Astyanax mexicanus: one gene and its partner. The protein of the gene in region 2 interacts with the protein of the main gene of each other region in a pairwise test. Links are inferred from orthologs where the notes say so. Each region holds a gene or a part of one and is shown on either strand. Other genes may lie near its edges. The genes, in order: C-Myc-binding protein and MYCBP-associated protein.

Region 1 (15,697 bases), on a different chromosome or scaffold from region 2:
CCTTTAAGGTGGATCTGATAATGTATAGTATTTTAGTGTTGTTTATTATTATTAAGCGATATGATTTGTGCCGCTGTGACTCCTCCCCCTACAGTGGTGATGTAAGTGAAGATGGGGGATTGGAACTTCCTGGGCGGGATCCTCGAGGAGGTGCACATTCACTCCACCATGGTGGGGAAGATCTGGCTGACCATACTCTTCATCTTCCGTATGCTGGTTCTGGGCGTGGCCGCCGAGGACGTGTGGAACGACGAGCAGGCCGACTTCATCTGCAACACCAAGCAACCGGGCTGCCGAAACGTCTGCTACGACCGGGCCTTTCCCATCTCCCTGATCCGCTACTGGGTCCTGCAGGTCAGTAACCATCTAACCAATCAACCAACCAAGTAACTAATTAACTAACTAACCAATCAACCATCTCCCTGATCCGCTACTGGGTCCTGCAGGTCAGTAACCATCTAACCAATCAATCAACCAACCAATTAACCAATCAACCAACTAACTAACTAATCATCTCCCTGATTTGCTACTGGGTCCTGCAGGTCAGTAATCATCTAACCAATCAACCAACCAATAAACTAATTACCTAACTAACCAATCAACCATCTCCCTGATCCGCTACTGGGTCCTGCAGGTCAGTAATCATCTAACCAATCAACCAACCAATAAACTAATTACCTAACTAACCAATCAACCATCTCCCTGATCCGCTACTGGGTCCTGCAGGTCAGTAACCATCTAACCAATCAACCAACCAAGTTACTAATTAACTAACTAACCAATCAACCATCTCCCTGATCCGCTACTGGGTCCTGCAGGTCAGTAACCATCTAACCAATCAACCAACCAAGTAACTAATTAACTAACTAACCAATCAACCATCTCCCTGATCCACTACTGGGTCCTGCAGGTCAGTAACCATCTAACCAACCAACCAACCAACTAACTAACCAATCAACCAACTAACTAACCAATCATCTCCCTGATCCGCTACTGGGTCCTGCACGTCAGAAACCATCTAACCAACCAACCAATTAATTAACTAACTAACCAATCAACCATCTCCCTGATCCCCTACTGGGTCCTGCAGGTCAGAAACCATCTAACCAATCAACCAACCAATTAACTAATTAACTAATCAACCATCTCCCTGATCCGCTACTGGGTCCTGCAGGTCAGTAACCATCTAACCAATCAACCAACCAAGTAACTAATTAACTAACTAACCAATCAACCATCTCCCTGATCCGCTACTGGGTCCTGCAGGTCAGTAACCATCTCACCAATCAACCAACCAAGTAACTAATTAACCAATCAACCATCTCCCTGATCCGCTACTGGGTCCTGCAGGTCAGTAACCATCTAACCAACCAACCAACTAACTAACCAATCAACCAACTAACTAACCAATCATCTCCCTGATCCGCTACTGGGTCCTGCACGTCAGAAACCATCTAACCAACCAACCAATTAATTAACTAACTAACCAATCAACCATCTCCCTGATCCCCTACTGGGTCCTGCAGGTCAGAAACCATCTAACCAATCAACCAACCAATTAACTAATTAACTAATCAACCATCTCCCTGATCCGCTACTGGGTCCTGCAGGTCAGTAACCATCTAACCAACCAACCAACTAACTAAACAACCAACCAATATTCCAACCAACCAACAAACTAACTATAAAACCAATCAACCAACCAACTTACTAACAAATTCTACATTGTCCACAGAACCTTCCAGCCCTGCAATGGAAGAGGAACCGTAGATAGGTGGTCCTTAGGTTATCCTGAGTTCCATTCCTGTGTATATTTCGGTGTGTTGGAGCAGAGCAGTCAGGACCAGTAATGTGAACTGCTGGATTACAAATAAACTAAATGTCAAATATTAGAATAATGTTTGAGTAACAGTTTAGCACTAGCTAAATTTGTCTGACTAATTATAAGTTTGTGTTACAGGTGATCTTCGTCTCGTCGCCCTCGCTTGTCTACATGGGCCACGCCATCTACCAGCTGAGAGCCCTGGAGAAAGAGCGGCACTGCAAGAAGGTGGCGCTGCGGCGGGAGCTGGAGGGACTGGACCCGGATCATGCCGAGGCTCGTAAGAGGATAGAGAGGGAGATGAGGCAGATAGAGCAGGGAAAACTGAACAAGGCTCCTCTACGGGGGTCGTTACTGAGGACCTACATCGCTCACATAGTGACCCGGTCCGTGGTGGAGGTCGGGTTCATGCTCGGCCAGCAACTCCTGTACGGGAACCAGCTGCAGCCGCTGTATAAGTGCGAGCGCGAGCCGTGCCCGGACGTGGTGGACTGCTTCGTCTCTCGTCCAACCGAGAAAAGCGTATTCATGGTGTTCATGCAGATCATCGCCGCTGTTTCCCTTTTCCTCAGCCTGCTGGAGATCTTGCACCTTGCGTACAAGAAGATCAAGAAGGGAATTCTCGAGTTCTACCCGCACTTAAAGGATGATCTAGATGACTGCTACGGTGCCAAGTCCAAAAAGAACTCAGTGGTGCACCAAGTGTGCATCAGCCAAGGGCGCAAATCGACGATCCCGACCGCACCGAGTGGATACACGCTGCTGCACGAGAAGCAAGCCAACGGACCGGCTTACCCACCTCTGGTTAGCGGGTCTTCTGTATTCCAGCCTGTCAAGCTGGAGAGTCATGCCGGAGGAAGACCAGGATCAGATGGTCAGAAGGACCCCAAGACCAGCGGTCCAAGTCCCACAGAACACAACAGCAACTCCAACAACACCAGCAACGAGGCTCGCTCTCGTGCGGACAAACCCGAACAACTCCTTGAGGACTCCCAGGAGCTTGAGACCGAAAGTTCAGAGTACCCAACGCTTCTGGTAACTGAATCCGCCTCCTGTCCCACCACCTGTCCAACTAACACCACCCGCAGAGCCCGCAAGGTCAGCGGTCCATGGAACTGCAGTACTGTGATGGAAGGCAACGCTTCCGACAGCGAAGAGTCCTGCAGCAGCTTAGCGGGCGCAGGAATTCACCCACGAGTTGGTCAACCTGTAGTCCACTGCCGGTCCTTCCCTAAACTGGACTCCAGAAGGTCCAGTCGACCACAGACGCCAGATTCTGCAGCGGACAGGAGCTCGGACTCACGCCACAGTCCTGCTCTATCTGCTAACCGCAGGACATCGCCGGCCAGCAGTGTCAGCAGCAGGAGAGCTGCCACAGACCTGCAGATCTGAAAAAAATCCTGCCCTAAAGCATTATCTAACCCAGGGACAAGTTCTGAGACGTCTCCACGTTCCACCTACAGAAGCTGTTTTGATGGCAGCTCTGACTACCGTTTCGGAACACTTATTGATCAGTCCAGAGATTTTTAATTTTCAGACCACCGTCTGGACCAAAGGACAAAAATTTGATCGGAAAAATGTTATCTACCGATCAATAGTCTGGTTGGTTTGCAGAGTAAACACTTTTTTGGACAGTTCAGACTTATAACCGAAAGTAACCGGATTAAATAACGTACAGAATACAATCTAACAAGCACATCAACTTCGGTTTCCGACCCAGTGTCATCCTTCTTAGCTCCGCCCCCTCTCTTTCACTTGTAGGGTCTGTATTTTATACACCTGTGATAATGGGACTAAATCAAACACCTGGATTCAGGTTTTAAGGGTTGTGTTTCAACTCTAGAAACTTTGCTTTAATAACGAAATGACTGGAATTAACTTATTATTAGCCTGGGTTCATCAGTAATATTCATCAGTGGATTTTGTGATGCATGTTGTTATATTTAGAATATATAATGCTAAAGTTTTTTCTCTTTGTTTTCAGATAATAATTTAATTTCTCAAAAGAAAAAACACCACATCATGTAGTGACTCACAGCAGCATCTTGTGAACAACACATTCATTTTTAAACAAATAGGAAAAGTTTGTGCGTAATAATGAAATTGGTTTTGTACACTTTTGTACACTTTGTTATGTTGATCACACTATATATATATATATATACACACACACACAATACTAATGCATCTCAAAAAAATTAATATTTGAAATCATTGAAATGTGACTTTTTATTTCAGTAATTCAGTTGAAAATGTGAAAGTCATACATTATATAGATGTATTAAACACAGAGTGATGTATTTTAAGCGTTTATTTATTTTATTGTTGATGACTATATCTTACAGCCAGAATATTAGAATATTATTTAAGACCAATTGGTTCTTTTGGCAGTGTGCCAAGTCCTGCTGGAAAATGAAATCAGCATCTCAATAAAAGTATAGGAAGCATGAAGTGTTTTTTATTTCTATTTGAACCACGAGTGCCTTGTGTATAGTGTAAGACAGAGGTTCTCCTATTCTAGTTTTTCTTCTTTAAGGAACAGAAACGAGTCTCAGACACAGGAAGTGATGCAGAAACAATAATATATTTAGTGTAGGTGTTTAGGAAACTAAATTCAATACCACATTCGTTTTACAAACAAAAATTCACCATTCCCAGTTTTGTAAAAAACGTAATATAAAAGTGCAGGAATCAAAAAACTGAAATATTACCCCCTCATTCTTCACACAGCGTTAATTATAAACTCTATAAACTCAATAACTAAACCCAGATCCTCCTGATCCTCATTCTGCTGCTCCATCCTCCACCGGCGGCTCGTACTGCAGCAGCTGCAGGAGACAGAACCACACAGAACCATCAGAACATTAGAACCTTAATATCAAAATTATCCAAAAGCGGAGTCTGTGTAAAATATTTCACACTTCTACTCTGTGATACAACTTCTGAATTCGGAATGCAATTGTAAAAACAGGAGGACCAGTGAGTTTTTAGGCTTTAATCTTTCTCGATCACATGACATCATCGGTGTTCAGTAGCTCCTCCATTTCCAGTCGCTGTTGTGTTTTTAACGTGGATCTCCATGGAAACCGTGGCGCACCCAAAGTGTAATTACGGTGCGCGGCAGTGGATAAATATCTATTTTATTAAAGGCGAGGAGACGAAACTCAGAGATGTGCGTCCGGACAGGACTAAAATTACCGGAGGAGCACGGAGTTCAGAGAAAAACAGTAGATAATTCAGCCTGTAATTTTCTCAGAGGACGTCTGAGAAAAACACAAACATGATCGTTCTGGACGGGAATAAAATCACAGAGGATAAAAAAAAAAAACATAAAATAGAGAAAATTACCCAGAACCGCCTAAAAAACTAATCCCATCCAGATAGGGCTCTTTGTTTCTTCACATGTAATCAGACATCCAATTATAATCAGATTTATGCAGCTATACGCTTATTCTATTAGTTGTGTAAACAGCAAAATCGGATTATTCTGAGATCAGAGTAAAGTCTATAAAATTGTTCTGTGATGTAAGCAGCACACTCTGATTACTATAGTCTATAAATCTGATAAATCAAAATGATTTTTTGTGATAATGATATTCTTGAAGATATTACAGGACATTATTTTTTAAAATTATAATTTTAAGTATACACAGTAAAGGTGTGGAAAAAGTATTGGCCCCTTACAGATTTCTTTGGCCTTTGCTTTTTTTTTGTCATACTTGATATTTTTTTGATTATCAAACAAAATCAGAACTTTAATCGAACAAATATAACCTGATTAAATATAAAAAAATCACTTTTTACATGATAATTTTCTTTTTTGCAGCCTTGTAATGTGAATGTAGCCAAATAACTCTCATCTGATTTGGAAATAATAGTTATAACTAATTGGATTTGGTGCATTGACACAACTGTGAAAAAAGTCACTTTAGCCTGCTAATGTGAACGTAGCCGAAGGGACTCAAATCTGAGTTGAAAAAATCAGATTTGGAACATTCACACAGTCATGGAAAAAAATCAGATCTGATCCACATTGATCAAAAAATCACTTTATCTTGGTAAAGTCAAAATGACTTGAAGAAAAAAAAAACAGATTTGGTACGTTCACACAACCGTGAAAAAAAATTAGACCTGAGCCTATTATTATTATTAAAAAATCTGATTTGAGTCAATTTAATCCTGGTAATGTGAACGTAGTCAAAGTGACATTCACACAACCATGAATCAGAAAATCAGATCTAAGTCACATTAGCCTGTTAATGTGAATGTAGCTAAAGTGACTTAATTCTGATTTGTGAAAAAAAAGAAAAAAAGAAATCATAATTGGCATGTTCACACAACCGTGAAAAAATCAGATTTGAGTCACTTTAGCCTGCTAATGTGAACGTAGCGTTAGTCTTTAGATGTGAATGAGAATCAGAACTTAGTCTTTTAACGTCTTTTTTCGGAGTCTGTTTGAAGTTATCTAGTGTATAATCAGCTTTACCCGGTTCTTCAGGTCTCGGTTCTCCTCCAGCAGAGCGTCGTATTTCTGCTGCAGCTCCGTCAGCTCCAGACACAGCGTCTCCACGTCGCCGGAGTCCGGCTCACCTGTGCTCAGGTGCAGCCGTATAAACCTGCGGGAGATCTGACTCAGGACCACAACGCTTCTCTCGGGAACTCAGGTACCTGCCCGCTCACAATTACAGACATCACACCCTGCCAACACTACCTTTTAATTATTATTTGTATTTTATTCTAATTACATTTTTATTTTTGTATCTATTTTTACACACTATATACCGTTATTTTAAAATAATTACATTTTGCTCTTATTTTCTCTGCCATCCCTGTTTCTGTAAATGCTCGGCTACATTAAAAATGAGGGTTTTCCTCAATGTACATCCGAGTTAAAATAAAGATTGATTGATTGACCTTATGAAGCTAAATTAGTGCTAAAACTACGCAAATAAAGAAAACTTATTTTTAAATATTATACTACTTGCAAACAAACACAACTCGCTTTACAAATATAAAACACAACTATCTAACACACAGGGTGTGTTTTACAAATATATATGTAAACATATAAATATATATATATATGCAACCTTTAAATAAATACACAGCGTTCAGTTTTTCTAATACATTGCTCTTAAAGAAATATAACATGTGTTGTGTATCATTGCAGGTAGTATAATATTTACAGAATATGTTTTCTTTATTTGCATAGATTTAGCACTAATTTAACTCCATACTACCTTATCTAACAACCATCTGAATAGAACTGGACAATAATTGGATATCTGTATTTATCGTATCTCTGAGGAGTGCATTAATTCCAGAGTTCTGATATTAATAACTGGAAACTAGAGTAATGTACAGATACTTTACTCAAGTCAAAAGTTTGGACACAGCTTTCCTACACAGTAAATGAATAGTAAAGTGATGTATCAGATTATGAAGGAACACATAATGAATCATGTAGTAACTTAAAAATAGTGTTAAACAAACCAAAATACTCTGTGAAGTATTTAGATTAAACTCTGATAAACTTATCCTGTACAACAGAGGAAACTCTCGCTCTTCCTTTCATATACAGTCCTGATAAGTGCCAGTTTCATCATTATCAGTTGTTGAAATTCTTCTTTTTTTTTAAATGACTGACCTTCATTTCTTCTTAACGTAATTTATTCTTTATTTAGTTGAGTAGTTGTTGCTTCTCATAATCTGGATTAGAACATTACTCAAATATTCACTATTCACTGTATACCTGTAACTCTACCTCTTAACTACTTTACTTTAACTGATGCTCTCAAACACTTTATTAAGAGACAAGAAATTCAAGTAATTAACTCTTGATGAGTTCAGCACAGCTGTTAACTGAAAGCCTGAATTCCAGGTGACTCTACCTCATAAAACTGACTGAGAAAATCCAGCAGAGATGTTGGATAATTTCATTTAAAAGTGAATTTGTTAAGGTGTGCCCTTTATTTATATAGTATTGAGTAAAACAATGTAATTGTGATATAAAGCTCTACATGTAACCCAGCAGAGGATAAAGGATACTCCAGAGCATTGTTGGGTTTATCCGTCTCCTCGTACAGAGCCACCAGCACTGTTAGAAAAGGGGAAATGATTAGTGACGGAACACTCTACAAAAATATACGGAATATAGTATTATACAAAGCTCTCTATAATAGAGAGCTCTTCTTCAGTTTCTGAATCAGTTTCTCTGATTTTGCTATTTATAGGTTTATGTTTGAGTAAAATGAACATTGTTGTTTTATTCTATAAACTACAGACAACATTTCTCCCAAATTACAAATAAAAATATTCTCATTTAGAGCATTTATTTACAGAAAATGAGAAATGACTGAAATAACAAAAAAGATGCAGAGCTTTCAGACCTCAAATAATGCAAAGAAAACAAGTTCATATTCATAAAGTTTTAAGAGTTCAGAAATAATCAATATTTGGTGGAATAATCCTGGTTTTTAATCACAGTTTTTTTCATGCATCTTGGCATCATGTTCTCCTCCTCCACCAGTCTTACACACTGCTTTTGGATAACTTTATGCTGCTTTACTCCTGGTGCAAAAATTCAAGCAGTTCAGTTTGGTGGTTTGATGGTTTGTGATCATCATCATAAGTGGAATCTTATTTTTTTTCAGAGCTGTATACATCTATAACTATAACAGATAGAGCTGTATAGAGCAGAACACACCATTAGTGAGACTGTCCAGAACTCCAGCTTTCTCCAGGTACCTCCTGAACTGCTCACGCTTCGACTCTGCAGCCTGAAACACATCATTCATATAATAAATACATAAATTAACAATAATACTCAATCTCAATCAGACTTTAACCCTCCAGAACCTTCATTTAGTTTATTAATCCATTCAGAGACAGTGAACTTGCTGTTTGTGTGATTTGGTTCATTGTCCTGCTGCAGAACCCAAGTACTCCTGAGCTTGAGGTCACGAACAGATACCCAGACATGAAGTGATCTCTTGATAGTGCAGTTCTGGCAGTTATCAGGCCTGTTTTTTTCCCATAATAAATGAAATTATCATTTTAAAAGTGATTCCTATATTTACTCAGATTATCTTCATGTTTGTTTGATAATCTGGGAAAAAAAACTATGTATAACTATATGTATATGTGAAATGCATTGATTTAAGCTAATTTTAATATATTTTCAATAAATTGATAAAGTTATAAAGTTGTACCGGTGTGTGTAGTCTCTCTTTAAGTTATAAATGTGTATAACAGCATCAGACCAGAATTCTTTATTTATATTTATTTCACTCAGCACTTCTACACACAAAACGCAGTTAGAAAAAAAAAATAAAGGCGCAGGTGAAGGACTGGTCAGATAATCATCACTTATCGTGGGATCAGGTGAGCTGGCTCAGACACAGGTGTGCAGTGGGGGGAGGGGTCTGGTTATACAGGCAGGTAAAGATCTGATAAAAATAAATAATATAGCATAAAATAATATAATGCAGCAAATAATATTGCAGAATATTTAGTGCATGCATATAAACTGCAAACTAAAACAATTATACAATAAATACACCTAAAGCTTCACAGTAAATAATAGACTACTTTTAAAACAGAACAGCCCTATTATCACGATATGGATTTTTAATATCATGATATTTCTGTCACTAGATAGATAGATACTTTATTTATCCCGAAGGAAATTTAGGGTATATTGTATACGACATAATATTGCCCACCCCTAATGGGTCCTTAGTATTTAAAGTAATTAGTATCTACACTACACTGGTATTTAGTATTTACACTTGTAATCACTATATACAAAGGTAATTAGCATCTGAACTGAAATTTACTATCTAAACTATGGGTGGGCAATATTACATCGTATAAAATATATCGTGACACAGAAATATCATGATATAAAAATCCATATCGTGATAACAGGGCTGTTCTGTCTTAAAAGTAGTCTATTATTTACTGTGAAGCTTTAGGTGTATTTATTGTATAATTGTTTTAGTTTGCAGTTTATATGCATGCACTAAATATTCTGCTATATTATTTGCTGGATTATATTATTTTATGCTATATTATTTATTTTGCCACATTATGATTATACTGTTATACTATTATACTATATTACTAAAATTAACAAATTATTTCTGTTTTCCTATATCACCAAGTATATCGTTATTGCAAAAATACCCTGAAATATCGTGATATTATTTTAGAGCCATGTCGCCCACCCCTAATCTAAACTGGTAATTAGTATCTACACTGGAAATTAGTATCTAAACTGGAAATTAGTATCTACACTGGTAATTAGTATCTGGACAGGTAATTAGTAGTAATTAAACTGGTTAAGGTGGTCGGTAGAGTTGAGCTGGGTTCTGGAGCTGTAAAACGGGCTGCATTGGGTCGGAACCCGCGACGGTTCTGGTATATTAGCTGGGTCGGAACCTGTGGGCCGCGGTTCGGGAGCTGTGAGGGTGTTCTGGAGAAGGGAAGAGCTGTGAGCTGGGTCGGAACCCGCGGCGGTTCTGAGGTAAATTATTAGCTTTAGCTTCCTGCATCTCTCCGCCGGTATTAACTACCATAAATACCATAAATTCCCCTAAACTCCGCGGCTGTTCGGGTCCGGGCGGGCTGTGTACCGCTGTGCGGTTCTGTTCGGTGCTGTTTGGACCGGTACTCACCCTGTAATGCGCCATTCCGGGTTTAATTCCTCTCAGAGTTCAGGAGTTCAGCTCCGCTGCTAACCTTCTAACTTACCTTCCAAGCCCGCGCATGCGCGCTACCCCACCGCGCCAAACACCGGAACACGACACACCGTCGCCCTGGCAACCAAGAACCGCCCACATACACTCACAACAAATTATATATGTTAATGTAAAAAAGAATACAATAAAATAATAAATACATAGCTTAACAAAATAAAAAAATATATAAAAATAAAAAAACTATATATAAAACAACACATAAAATATAGAAATTATGAAATATAAATCAAAATAAATAAATAGTACATAAAAAGATTATAATTTAATTACAATATAATATAATATTATTTCATATAATATAAATCATAAATAAATAAATAAATAAATAAATAAAAATTATGAAATTATAATTGTGAAATGCAATGAATTATTCCTAAACCAGTAACTTTAAACCAGTACACTGAGGTAAAGAAAAAAAAAAAAGTTAAAGTTGCAGCAGATGTGTTCGGAGGTAAAGCAGGCATAGTCGAAGGTTCAGCCGGCGTTATCGTTTTAACGTATTTAAACATTCCTCTAACGTTGCTGCAATGTCACTTCAGTCAATGTTTTCATTTCTGGTGTTGGTGTTTGGTCTACAGTAACCACACTGTACTCAATACCACACCAACACGGTCTACAGTAACCACACTGTACTCAATACCACACCAACACGGTCTACAGTAACCATGCTGTACTCAAAACCACACCAACACGGTCTACAGTAACCACACTGTACTCAATACCACACCAACACGGTCTACACTTGTATCAGTTGTAGTTAAGGATTTGAATTAATCTCATGGTAGAACTGGATCTGTTCTTGCATGGTTGTTGTAGTGGATACAGCTGTAGTTGTTGCTGTGATTGTAGTTGTAGTTTATGTAGTTGGAGCTGTAGTTGTGGTTATTGGAGGTGTATTTGAGGCTGTTGGAGCTGGGGTTGAGGTTGTTGGAGCTGTAGTTGTGGTTATTGGAGGTGTAGTTGAGGCTGTTGGAGCTGGGGTTGAGGTCGTTGGAGCTGTAGTTGTGGTTATTGGAGGTGTAGTTGAGGCTGTTGGAGCTGGGGTTGAGGTCGTTGGAGCTGTAGTTGTGGTTATTGGAGGTGTAGCTGAGGCTGTTGGACCTGGGGTTGAGGTCATTGGAGCTGTAGTTGTGGTTATTGGAGGTGTAGTTGAGGCTGTTGGAGCTGGGGTTGAGGTCGTTGGAGCTGTAGTTGTGGTTATTGGAGGTGTAGTTGAGGCTGTTGGAGCTGGGGTTGAGGTTGTTGGAGCTGTATTTGTGGTTATTGGAGGTGTAGTTGAGGCTGTTGGACCTGGGGTTGAGGTTGTTGGAGCTGTAGTTGTGGTTATTGGAGGTGTAGTTGAGGCTGTTGGAGCTGGGGTTGAGGTTGTTGGAGCTGTAGTTGTGGTTATTGGACCTGTAGTTGAGGCTGTTGGAGCTGGGGTTGAGGTTGTTGGAGCTGTAGTTGTGGTTATTGGACCTGTAGTTGAGGCTGTTGGAGCTGGGGTTAAGGTTGTTGGAGCTGTAGTTGTGGTTATTGGAGGTGTAGCTGAGGCTGTTGGACCTGGGGTTGAGGTCATTGGAGCTGTAGTTGTGGTTATTGGAGGTGTAGTTGAGGCTGTTGGAGCTGGGGTTGAGGTCGTTGGAGCTGTAGTTGTGGTTATTGGAGGTGTAGTTGAGGCTGTTGGAGCTGGGGTTGAGGTTGTTGGAGCTGTATTTGTGGTTATTGGAGGTGTAGTTGAGGCTGTTGGACCTGGGGTTGAGGTTGTTGGAGCTGTAGTTGTGGTTATTGGAGGTGTAGTTGAGGCTGTTGGAGCTGGGGTTGAGGTTGTTGGAGCTGTATTTGTGGTTATTGGAGGTGTAGTTGAGGCTGTTGGAGCTGGGGTTGAGGTCGTTGGAGCTGTAGTTGGGGTTATTGGAGGTGTAGTTGAGGCTGTTGGAGCTGGGGTTGAGGTTGTTGGAGCTGTAGTTGTGGTTATTGGAGGTGTATTTGAGGCTGTTGGAGCTGGGGTTGAGGTTGTTGGAGCTGTAGTTGTGGTTATTGGAGGTGTATTTGAGGCTGTTGGAGCTGGGGTTGAGGTTGTTGGAGCTGTAGTTGTGGTTATTGGAGGTGTATTTGAGGCTGTTGGAGCTGGGGTTGAGGTTGTTGGAGGTGTGGTTGTGGTTATTGGAGGTGTATTTGAGGCTGTTGGAGCTGGGGTTGAGGTTGTTGGAGGTGTGGTTGTGGTTATTGGAGGTGTAGTTGAGGCTGTTGGAGCTGAGGTTGAGGTCGTTGGAGGTGTGGTTGTGGTTGTTGGACCTGTAGTTGAGGCTGTTGGAGCTGGGGTTGAGGTTGTTGGAGCTGTAGTTGTGGTTATTGGACCTGTAGTTGAGGCTGTTGGAGCTGGGGTTGAGGTTGTTGGAGCTGTAGTTGTGGTTATTGGACCTGTAGTTGAGGCTGTTGGAGCTGGGGTTAAGGTTGTTGGAGCTGAAGTTGTGGTTATTGGAGGTGTAGTTGAGGCTGTTGGAGCTGAAGTTGTGGTTATTGGAGGTGTAGTTGAGGCTGTTGGAGCTGGGGTTGAGGTTGTTGGAGCTGTAGTTGTGGTTATTGGACCTGTAGTTGAGGCTGTTGGAGCTGGGGTTGAGGTTGTTGGAGCTGTAGTTGTGGTTATTGGACCTGTAGTTGAGGCTATTGGAGCTGAGGTTGAGGTTGTTGGAGGTGTGGTTGTGGTTATTGGACCTGTAGTTGAGGCTGTTGGAGCTGGGGTTGAGGTTGTTGGAGCTGTAGTTGTGGTTGTTGGACCTGTAGTTGAGGCTGTTGGAGCTGGGGTTGAGGTTGTTGGAGCTGTAGTTGTGGTTATTGGACCTGTAGTTGAGGCTGTTGGAGCTGGGGTTGAGGTTGTTGGAGCTGTAGTTGTGGTTATTGGACCTGTAGTTGAGGCTGTTGGAGCTGGGGTTGAGGTTGTTGGAGCTGTAGTTGTGGTTATTGGAGGTGTAGTTGAGGCTGTTGGAGCTGGGGTTGAGGTTGTTGGAGCTGAAGTTGTGGTTATTGGAGGTGTAGTTGAGGCTGTTGGAGCTGGGGTTGAGGTTGTTGGAGCTGTAGTTGTGGTTATTGGACCTGTAGTTGAGGATGTTGGAGCTGGGGTTGAGGTCGTTGGAGGTGTGGTTGTGGTTGTTGGACCTGTAGTTGAGGTTGTAGCAGAAGTTGCGGCTCGGACGTTTCCGGTTGTATTGTTTACATTCGCCTGTATAGGCAAAACGTACATTTTGTACTAGCAAGAGGTCAAAATGAGTATCCAGCGTGAGGTTTTCAAGCCGTTTTCAGCACTGCTGTGTTCCTTTTTGCACGGCGTCTGCTAAGTTTTATGGAAGCTTTAGGCTTTCATAGCTTCCCTGCTCAGAGTGATCTAATAAACAGTGACTGATGAACATCAGTCAGGACCACTTCACCATTTCGCCGTATGAAAGGTCTGTAGCAAACATTTAATACCAGACTACCTGGTTAAACCAAAAACGTCAGAAGCTTGGAGACGACTGGCAAAGCATGCAGTGCCACTGCTTTTTAAATGGAATAATTAACGTGACAGCACCCAGGCTCCACGTGATTTGGAGAGGAGATCAGCTAAACGTACTTGCCTGAATGATCCACCACCTAGCATTTTTATTATAGCTAGATATTTTTATTATTATTATTATTATTATTATTATTATTATTATTATTATTATTATTATTATTATCATTATTATTATTATTATTATAGATATTTATTATTATTATTATTATTATAGATATTTATTATTATTATTATTATAGATATTTATTATTATTATAGATATTTATTATTATTGTTATTATTATTATTGTTATTATTATTATTATTATTATTATTATCATTATTGTAGCTAGATATTATTATTATTTTGACTATTTTTATTTTTGTTATTAATATTATTATTATTATTATTATTGTAGGTAGTATTTTTATTGTTATTAATATTATTATTGCTAGCATGTATATGATTCTTTTTATAGTGATTATTATTATTTTTACTATCATTATTATAATAGTTGGCATTATTATAGCCAGCATTTTTATTATTATAGCTAGTATTTGTCTAATAAATGTTATTATTATTATTATTATTATTATTATTATTATTATTATTATTATTATTATTATTATTATTATTATTATTATTAGACTAGTGGTGGGCTTTACTGGTCTCCTGGACGTTGAGGTTAATTTTTAGAAGCTCTTGTAAACACCAGCTGAAAATACTGCCATAAGGAGTGTATTGGAAAAGCCAAACAGGAAACGCTGGAGCAGCACTGATGAGAATGGGGAAGTAGTTGTGCAAAGAGCGCATTCCCTGGTTTTATGGTGCAACTTTTGCTAGCTGTATTTTATTTTTTATTAAAAAACTGGGTTAAACAGAACTTGTGGTAACTGAGGTAACTGAACTAGCTTAACACTAGCCCGGTTAGCGAGTTAGCTTAGCCTAGTTAGCTGATAAGTCTAATACCAAGATACCAAGATTACAAAGTTATAAACCAATAAAATAAACTAACACTTTGTGTAACTGTGAGAAAAAAAGACAATTGATTGGGTTTTACTGTGTAACTTTAGCTAGATATATTTTATTTTTTATTATGAAACTAAGTTAAACAGAACTTGTGGTGGATTTAGAGCCTGAGGTAACTGAACTAGCTTAACGCTAGCCCGGTTAGCGAGTTAGCTTAGCCTAGTTAGCTGATAAGTCTAATACCAAGATACCAAGATTATAGTTATAAACCAATAAAATAAACCAACACTTTGTGTAACTGTGAGGAAAAAAGACAATTGATTGGGTTTTACTGTGTAACTTTAGCTAGATATATTTTATTTTTTATTATGAAACTAAGTTAAACAGAACTTGTGGTGGATCCAGAGCCTGAGGTAACTAAACTAGCTTAACACTAGCCCGGTTAGTTAGCTTAGCTTGGTTAGCTGATAAGGCTAAGATGAGGTAAAGTTTAAAAAAAAACACCACTCTGCAATTTTTGAGTTTTATTGTGTAACTTGTGTCATTTTATTACTACCAAACCAGGTTAAATAGGACCCTTGTTGGAGTCTGAGCCCGAGTTAACTAGCATTAAGCTAGTTAGCATAGATTGG
Region 2 (15,697 bases):
GGGTAATGGGCTGACCCTTCACTACTTGTTATACTCAGCGCAACAATATCTTATAAGTGTTGTGAGAAGGAATGCCAACATTATAAACTGGTAAATGCTTTAGTTGCTCTTTGAGTTCACCCCACTTAACTCAACAACAAACAGAACACTCAACCAGCAGCTCAGTTTCCTCTGCTGAGAAGAGTTTGTTGGACACGTCCAGGTAGCTGCACCGTTACAATAGCAATCCACCAAAGACAGAGCTCACCTGATCTACTCTTAAAGAGAATGATGAGCAATAGACACTCTGATTGGTTTATTTCATGTTACGCCCAAAATTAACCACACCCATCATTAATTAAGAGAATTAGTACATGCCTTTTGCGCTGCTTTTCGAGCTACGCAAGGAGTACTTTTATCGTTGTTACGATAGCAAAGACACACTGACACACCCTAAATCAGGCTGCACTATTCACTATTCAGGTGGGCGATGTGGCTGTAAAATAATATCACAATATTTCATGGTATTTTCACGATAACAATACTTTTGGCGATAGAATTTTATTATTGCATGCAATATGATATGATCCAATGATCAATGATCCAGAATGTCATGATACTAATTATAATAATAATGCACTCCAAATATCTCCATATATTCAGGATTAACGTAAAATAAATGATACTGGAAAGATATAATCTGTCTCTAGTAGATATATAATGGGAAATGAGAACAGTGTGAATTTTTCTTTTGCTAAAAACAGAAAAAAAGTAGAACCCTGATGTGATAATTAGGGGTGGATGATATGGTACCATATTTCAGGGTATAATATCGTTTATGATATTTTAAATATTTGGCGATATTATCACGTACGATACGATATGGCACACCCCTACTATTCACCATTGACCAGTGTGCTATAGATCACTAAAATAAGGCCTCCTGGGTTCATACTGTCTCTAATCATCAGCTCCAGTCCAGCTCAGGCTGCCACTACCAGGAAATAGCTATTAACCAGCAGAGAAAAGAGGAGGACAGCGCATTACAGAGACACTGATAAAGAACTGCATGACCTGAAGAAACATATCAGAACGAGAGAGAGAGAGAGAGAGGGAGAGAGAGGGAAGAAGCTGAATGCCAAGACAGAGAACATTTGAAAGAGTCGACCGAGGACAGAAACCAGCGACAAAGAGAACTGGCAGCTCTCGGAGAGAACATGAAGAACAGAGTCAGAATACTGCAAATTACTGACACCTCCAGAAAAACACACCTACGCATGCATTGTTTCTACTGAAATCAGGGGCGTTAAAAGAGTTTATCGTGATTATGTTTGTTTTGCTTTAGATATTACTAGATTCTGGATTGTACTGCATTGTATATTAAGAACCTGTATAACGGGGCGTACGAAAAAAGTACTCTACTGTCTCTACTGTTCAGAGAAGACTAGACTAGACTAGATACTAGATACTACTAGCATTTAAGCTATAAAACACTTAAGGTACGTGTTATAAGGTGTAATATTGGCACTGCTGTGATGGGGTCGTAGGCACGAGGGCTCAGGCCGAGTATAGATTAGATCAGCACAGCAGTGCCAATATTACATGTTATAGCACAAACCTCGAGTGTACTATTGCTTAAATTCTGGTAGTATCTAGTATCTAGTCTAGTCTAGTGTTCTCTGGACAGTAGAGACAGTAGAGATTATACTACAGTTCCATTATCACTGTTTATTAAAGATTTTAAAAAGTTAATGAGGAGGGAAAAATACAATCTGTTTGGTTATAAAAACTCTGCCAGTTAAAGTAAGCTCTGGATTATCATTATATAAATCTAAGCTTACTGTAAATAAACTTAAGAGCTTTACTCACCCAAATAAACAGTTTTCAGAAAAGGAATCTGTGTAGATTAAAGTCCAGCACACCTTTAACTTTAAAAGAATTTGTGTTTTTAAGAATTAAAGTTGTGTTAACTTTAATTGCTGCCCCCCAGCAGCAAAACCTGCAGAATTACAGAAAAAAAGTTTCCACGTCCCTATTCATTCACAGAACTGTGGAAAATGTTCTGGGAACGTTAAGAAAACTGTGCAGGTTCATGTTAAGGGACAATTCCAATTCCAAGGCAACATTCTGGGAAGGTTTTGTTAATGTTACATAAAAGGTTGAGGCCACATTCTGAGAAAATGTATAAATGTTTAAGCCCCTAATTTGTGATCCTTAAAAGGCAGTGTTACCAAATTGACATTACTGTGATATTCTCAATATATCATCAATATTTTCCTGGTATACAATAGCATATAAAGGACAATACATATGTTGCAATAATTGTAAATGTAAATGTAATGATTCTCTCTATAGAACCTAATCCTAAACACCTAAACCTAAACCTAAACCTAACCTCAATTGTGAATCAACCGTAAAACCGAACCCTTATCAAAACCTTAACCTAAACTTTAAACCAAACCTTAAAATGTTAGCATTTGGGATTGGGTTAGCATCAGAGTTGGGTCAGTCAATATAGAAACATTTACCTTTAAATGTTAGTTAAGCATTTGTGAGGCGTCTATAATGGACCATCCAAATAAAGTGCTACAAAAAAGATATTATTAATACAGACAAATAGATATGTAATATTTTTAAACATGCAGCAAACCCCTGCTGTAACCTTACTAAAACTATACAATTTTTTAATTCTATAAATTGGGCAGCTTTAGTTGAACAATCTGTCAAATACAGAATTCCATACATTCTGTATTGGGCTAGAACTGCAGGACAACAATTTTCAGTCTATTTTGGTCCTAAAAAAATAACTTTTTATAAGATACGGGTGTAAAAAACAGACTTTGCCTGTTCAAACTGAACAATGTAGGCTCACCTGGCTTCCCACAGAGGACAGACTGTGCTTTCAGAGAGATCTCAGACTGATAGAGATAGACTCTGCACTTAACAGTACACTCCAAACCCAATACAACTGACCTGTTCAAGCTCCGCCCACAAACATCTTCTGTCACAACCTGTACTGTTGCTGAGCAAAACAAGCTTTAGCAGAACAAGACCCTGGTACAACCTTTAAGAGACTGTAGCTTTTTATATTCCAGCTCTATATGTATTTTATATGTTCAAAAAGCATTTTCAGGAGTTGGGCTCTGACCCTTAGTTTTAGTATAAAAAAACTCTTAATTATTCAGTATACCAAACGATTTTGAAAAATTTCATGCTCATATTATTGGAGGAACAGTTTGGGGATGACCCCTTTCTATTTTAACATGACTAATTCACATTAGTGCACAAAGCAAAGTCCATAAAGACATGGATGAGCTGGTGAGTTTGGTGTGGAAAAACTTGACTGGCCTGCATGGAGTCAAATGGAGACAAAGTTTCATGAACACACTCCTAAACCTTGTGGAAGGCCTTCCCAAAAGAGCTTTCTCTTTTTATGTATATAAAAAGTATTCACTCATCCATTCATATCATTAATTCATATCAGTAAAACAATCGAGAACAGTAGTTGTCTGACTGCATTGCACATATTGTAAAGTTTGGTAGAGGGGGGATAATTATGATTATAGTGTAGGGATGTTTTTCAGGCGTTGGGCTTGGGCCCTTAGTTTTACTCAAATTAACTCTTAATAATTCGGTATACCAAGAGATTTTTTACAATTTCATGCTCCCAACTTTGAAGGAACTGTTTGGGGATGACTCCTTCCTGTTTCAACATAAAAAGCATAATGCACACCAGTGCACAAAGCAAGCTACATAAAGATATGAATGAGCTGGTGAGTTTGGTGTGGAAGAACTTGACTGGCCTGCACAGAGTCCTCACAAATTCAAATAAACACACTCCTAAACCTTGCGGAAAGCCCTCCCACCTACCCAAAAGAGCTTTCTCTTTATATAGTATACATATATTCACTCATTCATTCACTCACCCTTTCATAACATTACTGAAAGAATCGAGAACAGTACTTGTCTGACTGCATTGTGCAAATTTTAAAGTTTGGTAGAGGGGGGATCATTATGATTATAGTGTGCGGGTGTTTTACAGGAGTTGGGCTCTGCCACAGTTAGTTCCAGTGAAATTAACACTTAATTATTAAGTATACCAAGAGATTTTGGACAATGTTATGCTCCCAAATTTGTTGGAACAGTTTGGGAACAACCCCAAAGCACAATCCATAAAGATATGGATGAGCTGGTGAGTTTGGTGTGGAAGAACTTGACTGGCCTGCATGGAGTCCTCACAAATTCCTATAAACACATTCCTAAACCTTGTGGAAAGCCTTTACATAAGAGCTAAAACTCGATGGGTTAAGAATAGGATCACTCCATTTCATACAGTATGTGTGCAAAGGCTAAACTTTAGCTAATGCGTGTTATTAAATATTGATTAACCCTTATTAAAATTAGAGTATTTAGAGTCTTCAGATTTTGTGCTCGGTCTAGCAGTGTACTTTGCAACCCAAAGAAAATGAAGCTGTCTGAGCACAGCAGGTTTCGTAACGCCTCTGCCTTTGCTTTTCATATGAAGGAAGTCTTTATAGATGATTGACCCAAAATGTTTTAAAGTAATAACAGCATTACGACACAAATTCATGCCGCTGTGTTTCAGATAAAACTATGCCAGTCCATAATGGAGAGACTGGATAATGAAGTCAGACTAACAGTGCCAGTCATTCACATTCGCCATCTCTTTCTTTCCCAATGTACCTTACCATAATCGCTTTCCAGATAGAAAAGTTTAGTGGGTTAGTAGGCTACACAGGTCAGATTTTACATAAACCATCATCATTGTTACCTCATTTCTGCAAGGCCAGAATTTCGCTCCAACGCTATCGCCCTTCACTTAAGCAAAATCCTGCTCTTTTTCAACTACAACATATTGAATTATTGTAAAATTACAGTCAAAAGATTGACCAAGGACACATCATTGTAACGTACCATTTTCTCTTCAACACTTTCTGGGTGTATATGCATTACTGACCATACTTTATTCCATACTGTCTTTTCTTTCAGTCACTGTGACAATTGTGGACCCAGTTAGCCAACATCCAGCTCTAGACAGGTTTGTAGGTTAGCTATCTTATGTCACTTCCGCCTCTGAGAAGTTTGTTCAGGACTAGACCCAACTTTTGGGTTGGTTTTTTGAAGTAAACCCCTGGCAATGTACCTGTAAGGTTCAGTGAAAGTTCTACTTTCACACACGTAATTTTTTTTCTACTGTGTCCCAACGTTCTTCCCTGCTACCACCATCTGGTTGCTCAGGTGATTGGCTCTGATCTTTGCAGGTCCAGATATTACCAAACCTAGGCCAAAAAAAGAGGCACATGCCAAAAACTTTACCAAGCTTTAACAGATCAAATTTGTTGTCTATCTAACTGTTAAGATTTTGGCAAGATTATAGTTTTTTGGTGTATATTTGCCTTTGAAGATGTCTGTTAGAAATCTCCAAGGAACTGGTTCTAGAGACCAAAACTCCACATCAGTCTTGACTTAAACTGGACTAGCAAACTATCGGTCTTGACTCAGACTCGGCTCTAGTGAACTTGACTATATAGGAACCCAACCTTCAGAAAAGGAAAATCAAGTAGTCAGGTCTTCTACCTCCATGGTTCCCAACTCTAATCGATGAGTCATTTGTTGTGATACTGGAGGTCTGGTGTCCAGCGTAGTCTGGTGATTTCCTGCTCAAGCATATCACCTAAATCTGGTAAACTTTTAAGCCAAAGAGGAAGGGATTCGGTAGAGAAATCACCAACCTTAGGGACCCAAGTAGTCAGGTTTGCAAACCAGATCCTGGCATTATCACTGGGACCTTCCAAAAGATTTTTTCACATCCTTTCATCCAGACTGAAAGGAATTGGGTTTCATTTCTATTTTTTGCTGTTTAAACTTCAAAATCAATCTGAATATGCCAAAATGTTGATTTAGCTTGAGAGTCTGAAAATATCCATATACATTTAGAACAATCTGTGGAATTCCAACTTAACATTCAAACCAAACCTATGCCCTCTCTTCCGTCTACTGAAAACTACAGTTCATGCAGAGCTGCATTCACACTTATTTATGCTAACCTATTTATTGTTCCTGTTACAGATCCTTTTATCTGAACTAGGGCACGTCCTGCACCAGCTAAAGCCAAACGTTTTATTAGAGTTATTCAATCTGTGCAACTGACATATTAAATTATTAAACCCTGCAAGAACCAATTCACATCTTTTTGCCTTTTTACTGGGCAGGGAATTGGGTCAAGCCACCCATAGCTAGCTTGTTACGCTTCCTTTAGTCATTGCAACAGGTGTGAACTCTTGTTTAGAGCCAATGTCCAGCTGTAAGCAGGTAAGTAGGTTAGCAAACTTAACTAATCACTTTTCTGAGAGGTTTGGTCAGTACTAAACCTACCAAGCTAACCCAACAAGCAAGTCTTCAGTGAAGGTGGACTCAACTCTACTTTATACCTGATTACCTCTGGTTGTATCATCACTCTAAAGATTGTGTTTTTTTCAATGTTTCCAGCCACATTTCATTGGGGAGCTCTAATAATGGAAAACAAGCCAGTTACTAGGTGCCAAAAAGTGAGTAGAGTCCAGTACTAAAATAAATACTAAAATAACTAAAAACATCCAGCACCTATAGAACAATTAAGAATGGGAAAAAAATGACCTGTAGTCCACTGGGCCACAAGACATTCATTGTGGTTCTGAAGATTTGGGGTCCAGCATAGTTTGGTGATTTCCTGCTCAATCGTACCATCTAAGTCTGGTAAATTTTAAAAGAAGAAGTTGAGTTTGAGTAGGAAAATGACCACATTACACTGAAAAGTTCTAAGAAATGTGGATTTTTTTGCCTGAAAATAAATAATTTTGGTTTGAATATGTATGGCAGTATAAACAATATTGGGTTGACATCAACAATAGAGAGTGAAAAGGCAGGCAGGTTTAAACATCAAATGTAAAAATCTGGTAAAAAAGCTGGATTTTCTCAGTAAATTGATTTTTGTTTGTTTTCTTTGTCAAACCTAACCACTATTAGGCTATCCCCATTCGTTTTAACACATTTTTCAGCAGTTATCATATTATTACTGAGGGCATGCATGTAGGTATAAAGACTAATACATAGAGAGACAAATGGATAGAGAGATATATAGCTAGATAGCTAGCTAGATAGCTAGCTAGCTAGCTAGATAGATAGATAGATAGATAGATAGATAGATAGATAGATAGATAGATAGATAGATAGATAGATAGATAGATAGATAGATAGATAGATAGACAACACATTTTATATCAGCTTACAGTAATCATTTTATTACTAAGGGCATGTAATAATCGATAGACCGACAGATACATAGGTAGACAGATAGAATGAAAGTCAGTCAGATATAGATATAAATAAATATATATATATATATATATATATATATATATATATATATATATATATATATATATATATATATATATATATATATAGACAGACAGACAGAAAGTCAGTCAGACAGGCAGTCTGACACACAGAAAAAAATAGATAGACAGTTCTAAGATCGGGGTTAAGGAGATGAGAGTCCAGTATAAGAACTAATTTTCAGATAAATCAGATTTATAATTATTATTAGTCAGTTATATTGTGTGTCTGTAATCCCCCTCACTCTCAGACGCTTAGTCAGTATAATTAAATATAACATATTTGTTATATTAATAGTATTAGTCTGTAGTGTCGGTGTGAGTGCGGTCCTACCGGAGGGGGAGCGGGACCGGGGCTCTTTTTTACCCGGTTTACTGAGCGACTTCCCCGGACTGGCCATGCCTGCAGATCCGCGGTTAGCTTAGCCTCCAGCTAACAACCAAACACACAGCTCTAATAACCCGCCCTAACTACAGCCACAAACACACACAGCGCGCGCTCAACACAGAGCTTAATCACCCGGATATAATATACACGGGTTATAGAGCTGATACACACTACAGAAACTGTATAAACTAGCGATAAAACTCAATAAAAACAATAATAAACCCGCAGCCGGTTAGCTATAGCTCTCTCTGACTAGCACCTGCGGTATCATAGCAACGGACGCCACCGGGGTAGCCCTGGCAACGGGAGCTCGCGCACGAGCGCGCTCACCTTCACTATCACTGAACAATAACACTAATCTTATAGGATCTATCTATCTGTCTATCTATCTATCTGACTTTCTGTCTCTCTACCTACATTTGATCTCTCCGTCTGTCTACTTCTCTGTATGATATATGTATCTGTTTATCTATCTGTCCTATTTTCTGTCTTTCTGTCCATCTATTTATCTGTTGCTGTCTATCTGTCGCTCACCTTTACTGAATAATAACACTGATCTTATAGGAGCTTCTGCTATCTATCTATCTATCTATCTATCTATCTATCTATCTATCTATCTATCTATCTATCTATCTATCTAACTGTCTGTCTGTCTGTCTGTCTGTCCAATTATGTATTCTTCGGTCTCTTTACGTTTCTGTGTGTCTGTCTATTTATCTGTCTTTCCGTCTGTCTGTCTGCATGTCTATATATGTATCTGTCTACCTATCTATCTGTATGTCTGTCCGTCTGAATCTGTCAGTCTGTCCATCTGAATCTGTCAGTCTGACTTTCTGTCTCTCTGTCTATTTACTTACTGTCTCTCTCTCCATCTCTGTCGTCTGACTCTCTCTCGCTCTGTCTGTAAGCCCCTCCCACTGGGCGGGGTCTCGGTTTCTCCGGTATATTAACGGGGCGCGGGGCTCGTGCTCGGTACAGACCTGCAGTAAGGTACATATGGAGGTTCCGGTTCCCGCGCGCTCTCAACACCTGTTGATCGGCTACAAGCGCGCTGCGCAGCACCTGCTCTCCAAGGCCGGGATGCGCGTATTAAAGCTGCAGCGGAGCGCGAGCGCCGCCGCCAAGGACCCGCAGCGCTCCTCCCCGCTCGCGCAGCTCGCCGCGCTCGTGCTGCAGCGGAGGCGGCGCCGCCTGCCGCTCGAGTCCGCCGCGCTCGCGCCCAAGCCGCGGAACTGCCGGCGCGTGGTGGTGCTGGGCGCGCCGCGCGCGGGGAAGACCAGTCTTGTGCGACGCTTCCTGCGCGAGGACTTTGAGGAGCGGTACGAGCCCACGCGCGAGGACTTTCACAGGAAACTATACCAGATCCGCGGGGAGGCGTACCAGATAGACATCCTGGACCCGGCCGCCGAGCGCGAGTTTCCCGCCAAACGGAGGCTCACCATCCTCACAGGTGAGCGCGTGCTGATGCTTTACTAGTTACCTGTAATTTTTGTTTTTCTGCTGCCAGAAACAGAATTCTTTAAAAGAATAATGTTCTGTACCAGCGAATACTTTGGAAACTTTAAAAGGTACCAAAATATTACTATATTATATTATATTGAAACCACAAAGGTAACAAGAAAGTTATCTAAGAGAAATTAAATTAACAATGGTAGCAAATGTTTTTTCCTCAGCTCCACACAAGAAAAATATTTGACTTTTTATATTTAAAACAGAAGAATCCTATATTTCAACCTATTTCAAAGGTTCTCCATTATAAATGGTCCTAAGGCACTAAAAACTCTGATTCTGATTTTTTGATTGTGTTGAACCCTTTATTAGTTTTTAAGTTCTTTCTAATGGATTTTGATCTTTCTAATAGATAATGGATACTACAAAACCTTATCAAACTCTTTAAATCTGTTCAGGTGTGTTCTTTGAGATGAACCAATTGTAGAACTAAAAAAAAAGTTTGTAATGGAACAAAATATACTTTACACCCACTTTACACACTTTTAATTTATTAGTAATAATTGACAGTATTAATCAAAATTCTCAAGCAATACAATTCAGTAATGTTTAGTAATCTCTTAACTACTGAACAATTTAACAGTGTTTTTTAAGTGATTTTTAAGTGTTTTTAAGTTTTTAACTGCTGTTTCTACTGTGTAGGATAAATATTGACGCTAATCTGTATGTGTGTGTATATGTGTTTAGGTGATATCTTTCTGCTGGTGTTGAGTGTGGATGACCGTGACTCGTTTGAGGAGGCGCTTGCTCTGCGCTCAGAGATTTCCCAGGCTAAGACCGCGCTGCTGCGCTGCTCGGCGGAAGGCGCTCGCGTACCCGTGGTCGTCTGCGCCAACAAGACGGACCTGCCGGCGTCGGAGCGCGCCGTGTCGCGCGCCGAGCTCCTACGCGCCTTCGGGGGTAAAGACTCCGCCTGCACGCTGTTCGAGACGTCGGCGAAGGACGGAGGCGCCGGTCTGGAGCGGGCGTTCGAGGCGCTGGCGGCGCGGGCGGGGCTGCCCGTGGAGACCGGGCCCTCGCGCCACCGCAGACTGTCCCTACGGTCCTACCGCAAACTGTGGGGAGGTGGGGCAGCGGGCAGGAAGTCCGAGGCTCACGATACGCCGTGCGGCGCACTGCACCCGCTCGCCCGCCGCCCCAGCGTCAGCGCCGACCTCCGGCTGGTACTCGCCACGCAGGGCAAAAAGAGGACGAGCAAGACGGGAAAGAAGTGACTCTGAGAAAACAAGTAATTTGACTTATTGACTAAAAAAACTGACAATAGCACCAGTATTGTATTGTAGCAGACCAGCGGAACCATCAACACCCAAAGAAACCTTTACATGGTCCTGTACCTGGTCCTCAAATGTCCTGAAAAACCTCTTGTGAAAGCTCTTAGTCCTATATCATTTAAAATTAATGGGTTTTACAGCGCACCAACAAGTCACAGACTGTCTTCGGGTACTATATACTACCCAGGCAAAGATATATACATATCTATATATATATATATATATATATAGTAATGGTGCTAGATTGCATCTGAAAGTCACAGAACCATTTTCAGTACTGTAATAGAGCCAAAAGCATCAATGGCGTAACGATGGCATAGTTTAAAATACATCAAGCATTCAGCATGCCGAAACAAACCAGTTTATTTTGTAATTAGTATTTTCCAATTCCAAGTCTTGTTGTGTCCAACATGTGTTAATCTTAATCTAAACTCTGGAGTCTTGACTTCATTTGTCTATGATCTAGAACCACTTTGTGTTCACCGATAATGTACTGTATCTGCTTCTGTCTACACCTGAAGCAGGGAATTGTTCTGGATCTCCAGCTTAAACCAGATTTCGATTCTTGTTTGCATTCACACCGAACCTCTTCCTGTTTAAATTCCGGTACACTTTTAAACATGAAGGTTTTTTTCTTTTTTTTTTAGCTATATACCATAGAACAAGAATGGGCAGGCCTATAGAACAACTACTTTAGGTTCTATGAAGGACCAGACAAAATACAGGTTTAGACAGATGTTTTTGTTTTTTCTTTGACAATCAAGGTCACATTTCTGCTAGGAAACAGTGCTAGATTGACATCGAACTCCAAAATTTAGGTTGAACCAAAAAACTGGACTGATGTCAAAACCCATAATTTTTCTAGACGTTGAAATGAAAGAACAACAAAATCCAACATTGGGTTGACATTTAAAATTGAGAGTAAGACTGATGACAAAACTGTTAGAAATGATATTTGTTGGAAATTGGACTAAAGTCAAAAACATTATACAAATGTTTGTTTTTTAAAGAAGTTCACGTTGTACGGATGCTAACTTTATGAAGTTTAGCATACCTTACAACCTTACGTTGATTTAACTGCCAATAATAAAGTTGCAGTCTCATGTTTGCTAGATGTTTTCAGTAAAAAAAAAAAAATAGGATATCGATGTCAGCTGTCCTTACAATTCTACATTACAGTAACATTGGCATTAGACATTGCCCTGATACGGTTCTTCACACTGGATCTTTATGGTTCTTCTATAGCATTGCTTAAAGAAACCTGAATAGAACCTTCATATTCGAGAGTGTTAATGATATCCGGGTAACAGCACATGTGTGAATGTGTGTGTGTGTGTGTGTGTGCACGCATGTTTTACTTGAGATCAAACACAGACTGTATTACCATCAGTGTCCTTCCATCAGTATCAGTGTAAACACTGCTGTGCTGCTGTAGAGTTTATTATAACTTTATTTATTAATGAATTAATTTATTTATATGTTTGTTTGTTTGTTGATATGTTTATTGTTTGTATAGCGTCTGAACTGTAGCACTGATCCAGCACTGTAGAAGAAATGTGTGTGTAATTTATGGAGACTGCATGAACGTTCTGATCAGAGCAAAGATTTTCAATAAACGATTTTTATACTGAAAAATAACTCTGAGTCTGATCTGTGAGAGAGAGAGAGAGTGTGTTAATGACAGATAGTGTAATAGAGAGTCTGTGAGAGTGAAAAAGAGTGTGTAAGAGAGAGTGTAAGAGCAAGAGTGCCTAGAGAGCAAGAATGTAAGAGAGTGAGAGTGTAAGAGAGAGTGTGACAAAGCGTAAGAGTGAGAGAAAGTGTGAGAGAGAGTAAAAAAAGTGTAAGAGAGTATAAGAGGAAGAGAGTATAAGAGAAAGAGAGCACAAGAGAGAATGTAAACGAGTGAGAGAGTGTAACAGAGAGTGTAAAACAAAGCATAAGACAGAGAGAGAGTGTGTAAAAGAGAGAAAATATGAGAGAGAGTGTTAGAGAGAGAAAGCATAAGAGAAAGGTGTAAGAGTGAAAGACAAAGCGTAAGAGAGAGAGTGTAAAAGTGAGAGTAAGAGACAAAGCATAAGAGAGTGTAAAGGAGAGAAATGTGTAGCGAGAGAAAGAATTTGAGAGAGTATTAGAGAGAGAAACAGATAGAGCACCATAAATGGAAGCGAGTCTGGTACAGAGTGTAACAGAAATAGAGAGAGCTGAGCGATGTGTAAGAGCGAGAGAGTGAGCGCGAGAGTGAGTGGGTGAGAGAGAGAGAGTAGGTGGGAGGATGTACTATATGGGGAATCTGCAGGTCACTGACTGCTATTATAATATATTATATAACATTTTAGAGAAGGAAAAATGCGTGTCCAATAGCATCCTACATATTTACTATAATCAGGGATAGATGTGGAGATGCACATGCTATAGTAAACCAGATGATCTGAGATTAAGGTGATTTGAGGTGATTTAATTGGGATGAGAGGGAGCTTCACAGCATGAAGGAAAAGCAGCAGCTATTGTTCAGCACCTCCAGGAACTCCTTCCTTCAAGACGCTGAGAAAACTATTCTTGTGACTCTCCCTCATGAAGACACTGAGATTAAAATCTCACCAAGAGTATTCAGATCTGTACTCAAAGATACATGTATAAAGTTCAAAACAGAATCTGGTTTATTATTAAAAATGACATCACAGTTAGTTCCGATTGGCTGAAAGACGCTTTATGAGTGCCGTTATCAGCCGGTAATGCACTGTAACCGAAGCTCTCCATGTTTTACTCCGCCAAATACAGCTAACCTAGCAACAATGCAGCACTTACAAACCAAATACAAACCAAATGCGATGTCATTATATACCTCTGGGGGCCGTTGGAACCCATAGACACAGTGTAGAAACGCCAAGCCATGTCTCCAATAGGCGGCGCAGGTAAAGATTCAAAAATACGCATTATTACACATATTCACATATCAGTCACCAATATCAGGTTAAGAGCTGTTATTGTTAAAATAAAAGCATATAAGCGTTTATATTTTCCAGTTAATATTTTTGGGGCATTGGGTATATATTTTTGGGTATATATTATGCTGCTGGGGGTGTGCCGAAGTAAACAGAACTTTAAATCTTAAAAAAAAAAAACATTTTCTTTTAGTTAAAGGAGTGCTGGATGTTAATCTACACAGATTTCTCACCTAAAACCTGTTTATTTGGGTGAGTAAAGCGCTTCTGTTTATTTACAGTAAGATTAGATTTACACAATTTTGACAGAAATGAACGATAATGCAGAGCTACAATACAGTGCAGGTACAAACAGAGCAGCAAAGGAAACTGTTTTATCGGGCAGGGTTTTTATAACCAAACAGATCGCATTGTCTCCTCCGGTTTATCTCAAAATCTTTCAATAAACAGTGATAGTGGAACTGTGGTATAAATATATCCCAATAATACACTGGAGGTTCGTGCTATAACGTGTCATATTGGCACCGCTGTGCTGATCTACTCTATACTTGGCCTCAGCAGTGCCAATATTACACATTATAGCACAAACCTCCAGTATATTATTGCTTTAATAATTCAGCATGAGTTAATGTATAGATTAAATATAGTCTTCAATATTAAATTTACAATATAGAAGATCATAGAAAGGAAGAAAAAACACACTGAATGAGAATGAGAAGAGGGGTGTCTAAACTTGTGACTGTTGGTACTGTAGATAGATGTACTCTGGTGAGAGAGGTAGTCGTGACTGGTGTTTGAATGCTGGAGTGACGGGCAGCTACAGTCACAAAATCACTGCTGAGTCTCCTGAGACGAACAAATCGGTACAAATACACACCGAACCCATCACTGCAGAAAAGTGTGTGTGTGTGTGTGTGTGTAAAGAACACACTGCTCTGCACATATCACACATCCTCCCACACTGCTGTGGAGGACAGTCCTGAGCAGGGGCGTAGCAGCAAATTCGGGGCCCTGTACACTCTCAGTGACAGTGGGCCCCTATCCATGCCAGTACACAAGGAACGTGAGCAAAAATTTTCATGGGCCCCTCTCTCTACTTGGGCCCTGGGTGGTCAGGTCCACTTTTCCCCCCACTACCACACCCATGGTCCTGAGGACATAGTGTAAAAACATGCTCCTCAGGGTCGAACAAAAAAAAAAAAAACGTAATCATTTCCAAACCAACAGTCTATTTTCATGCCTACCATGTGTCTGGTTTAAACAGCAGCAGATCTTCTGAATATATCTACACTGATGGGCGTGGTGTTCTGGAAATGAGGTGTGTTCAGGTACATTTCTGGAGATTTGTTATCTCTATCTTGGCAACAAAAAACTGACTGATTTGCTCCACTGACTGATTAAAACCCTGACAACAGTCAACAGTCCGACGTTCATCGCTATCTTGGCACCACAACTTTTACATCAACAATATATCAACAGAATAGTAAATAAAATATCATTGCTGTTCCCGTAAATGAGCTGCTGGAGCTCCTTCACAGCGTCAACCAGCAGCTCAGTTTCCTCTGCTGAGAAGAGTTTGTTGAACACGTCCAGGTAGCTGCACCGTTACAATAGCAATCCACCAAAGACAGAGCTCACCTGATCTACTCTTAAAAAGAATGATGAGCAAGAGACGCTCTGATTGGTTTATTTCACGTTACTCCCAAAATTCGTCATCAGAAAACGAACGCACCACTGTCTCTTTTATTTATCACCATTCCAGACAGATAGACATATAATAATGATATTAATGAGTCAAGTGTAAAAATGAGCAACATCGCAGCAGCTTATCCTATTTTAAACTCATCTATTTAAACATTTCTCAGCTCAGTAAAAGTGTGAAAAAGCGTTCTTCTTCTTCTCCAGCGTCACTGAGGAGACCCCGTGTATATTTCACACTTTTATTTCTGGGAGATACAGGATGAGTCCATGTGAACAATAGCTGTGAATCTCTGAGCTCAGCGTGAATAATAAATAATTTTAGAGATCAGACGTGTGATTCAGAGCAGGACGGATCTCCCGGTGTTCTGATCCATATTGAGAGCTCAGGGAGGAGTACGGTTTTCACTAAACGCTGCGTCACTCGCTAACGTGAAGAGTGGGCGGATTAGAAACGAGGGGATTCCAAGAAGCAGCAGAGGAGGAGATAAATTTAGTGAGGAACCAGTA

What was found.
Region 1: the proteins of MYCBP-associated protein (region 2) and C-Myc-binding protein interact in binary tests that used the Homo sapiens proteins (3 or more experiments, as listed by UniProt). The link is inferred for Astyanax mexicanus from reciprocal best matches to the Homo sapiens genes MYCBPAP and MYCBP.

What each region holds. Positions count from the first base shown.
Region 1 is NW_026040049.1:699,906-715,602, reverse strand, and holds C-Myc-binding protein, read right to left. Parts: upstream 10,626-15,697; 5' UTR 10,516-10,625; coding exon 10,501-10,515; intron 8,602-10,500; coding exon 8,529-8,601; intron 7,920-8,528; coding exon 7,871-7,919; intron 6,439-7,870; coding exon 6,309-6,438; intron 4,651-6,308; coding exon 4,606-4,650; 3' UTR 4,388-4,605; downstream 1-4,387. Other genes in the region: gap junction alpha-9 protein-like, read left to right, coding at 112-354, 1,961-3,214. UniProt on the Homo sapiens protein: May control the transcriptional activity of MYC. Stimulates the activation of E box-dependent transcription by MYC.
Region 2 is NC_064428.1:37,593,182-37,608,878, reverse strand, and holds the start of MYCBP-associated protein, read right to left. Parts: upstream 8,032-15,697; 5' UTR 7,778-8,031; coding exon 7,711-7,777; intron 1-7,710. Other genes in the region: si:dkey-27j5.5 (dexamethasone-induced Ras-related protein 1), read left to right, coding at 8,761-9,214, 9,961-10,487. UniProt on the Homo sapiens protein: May play a role in spermatogenesis. May be involved in synaptic processes.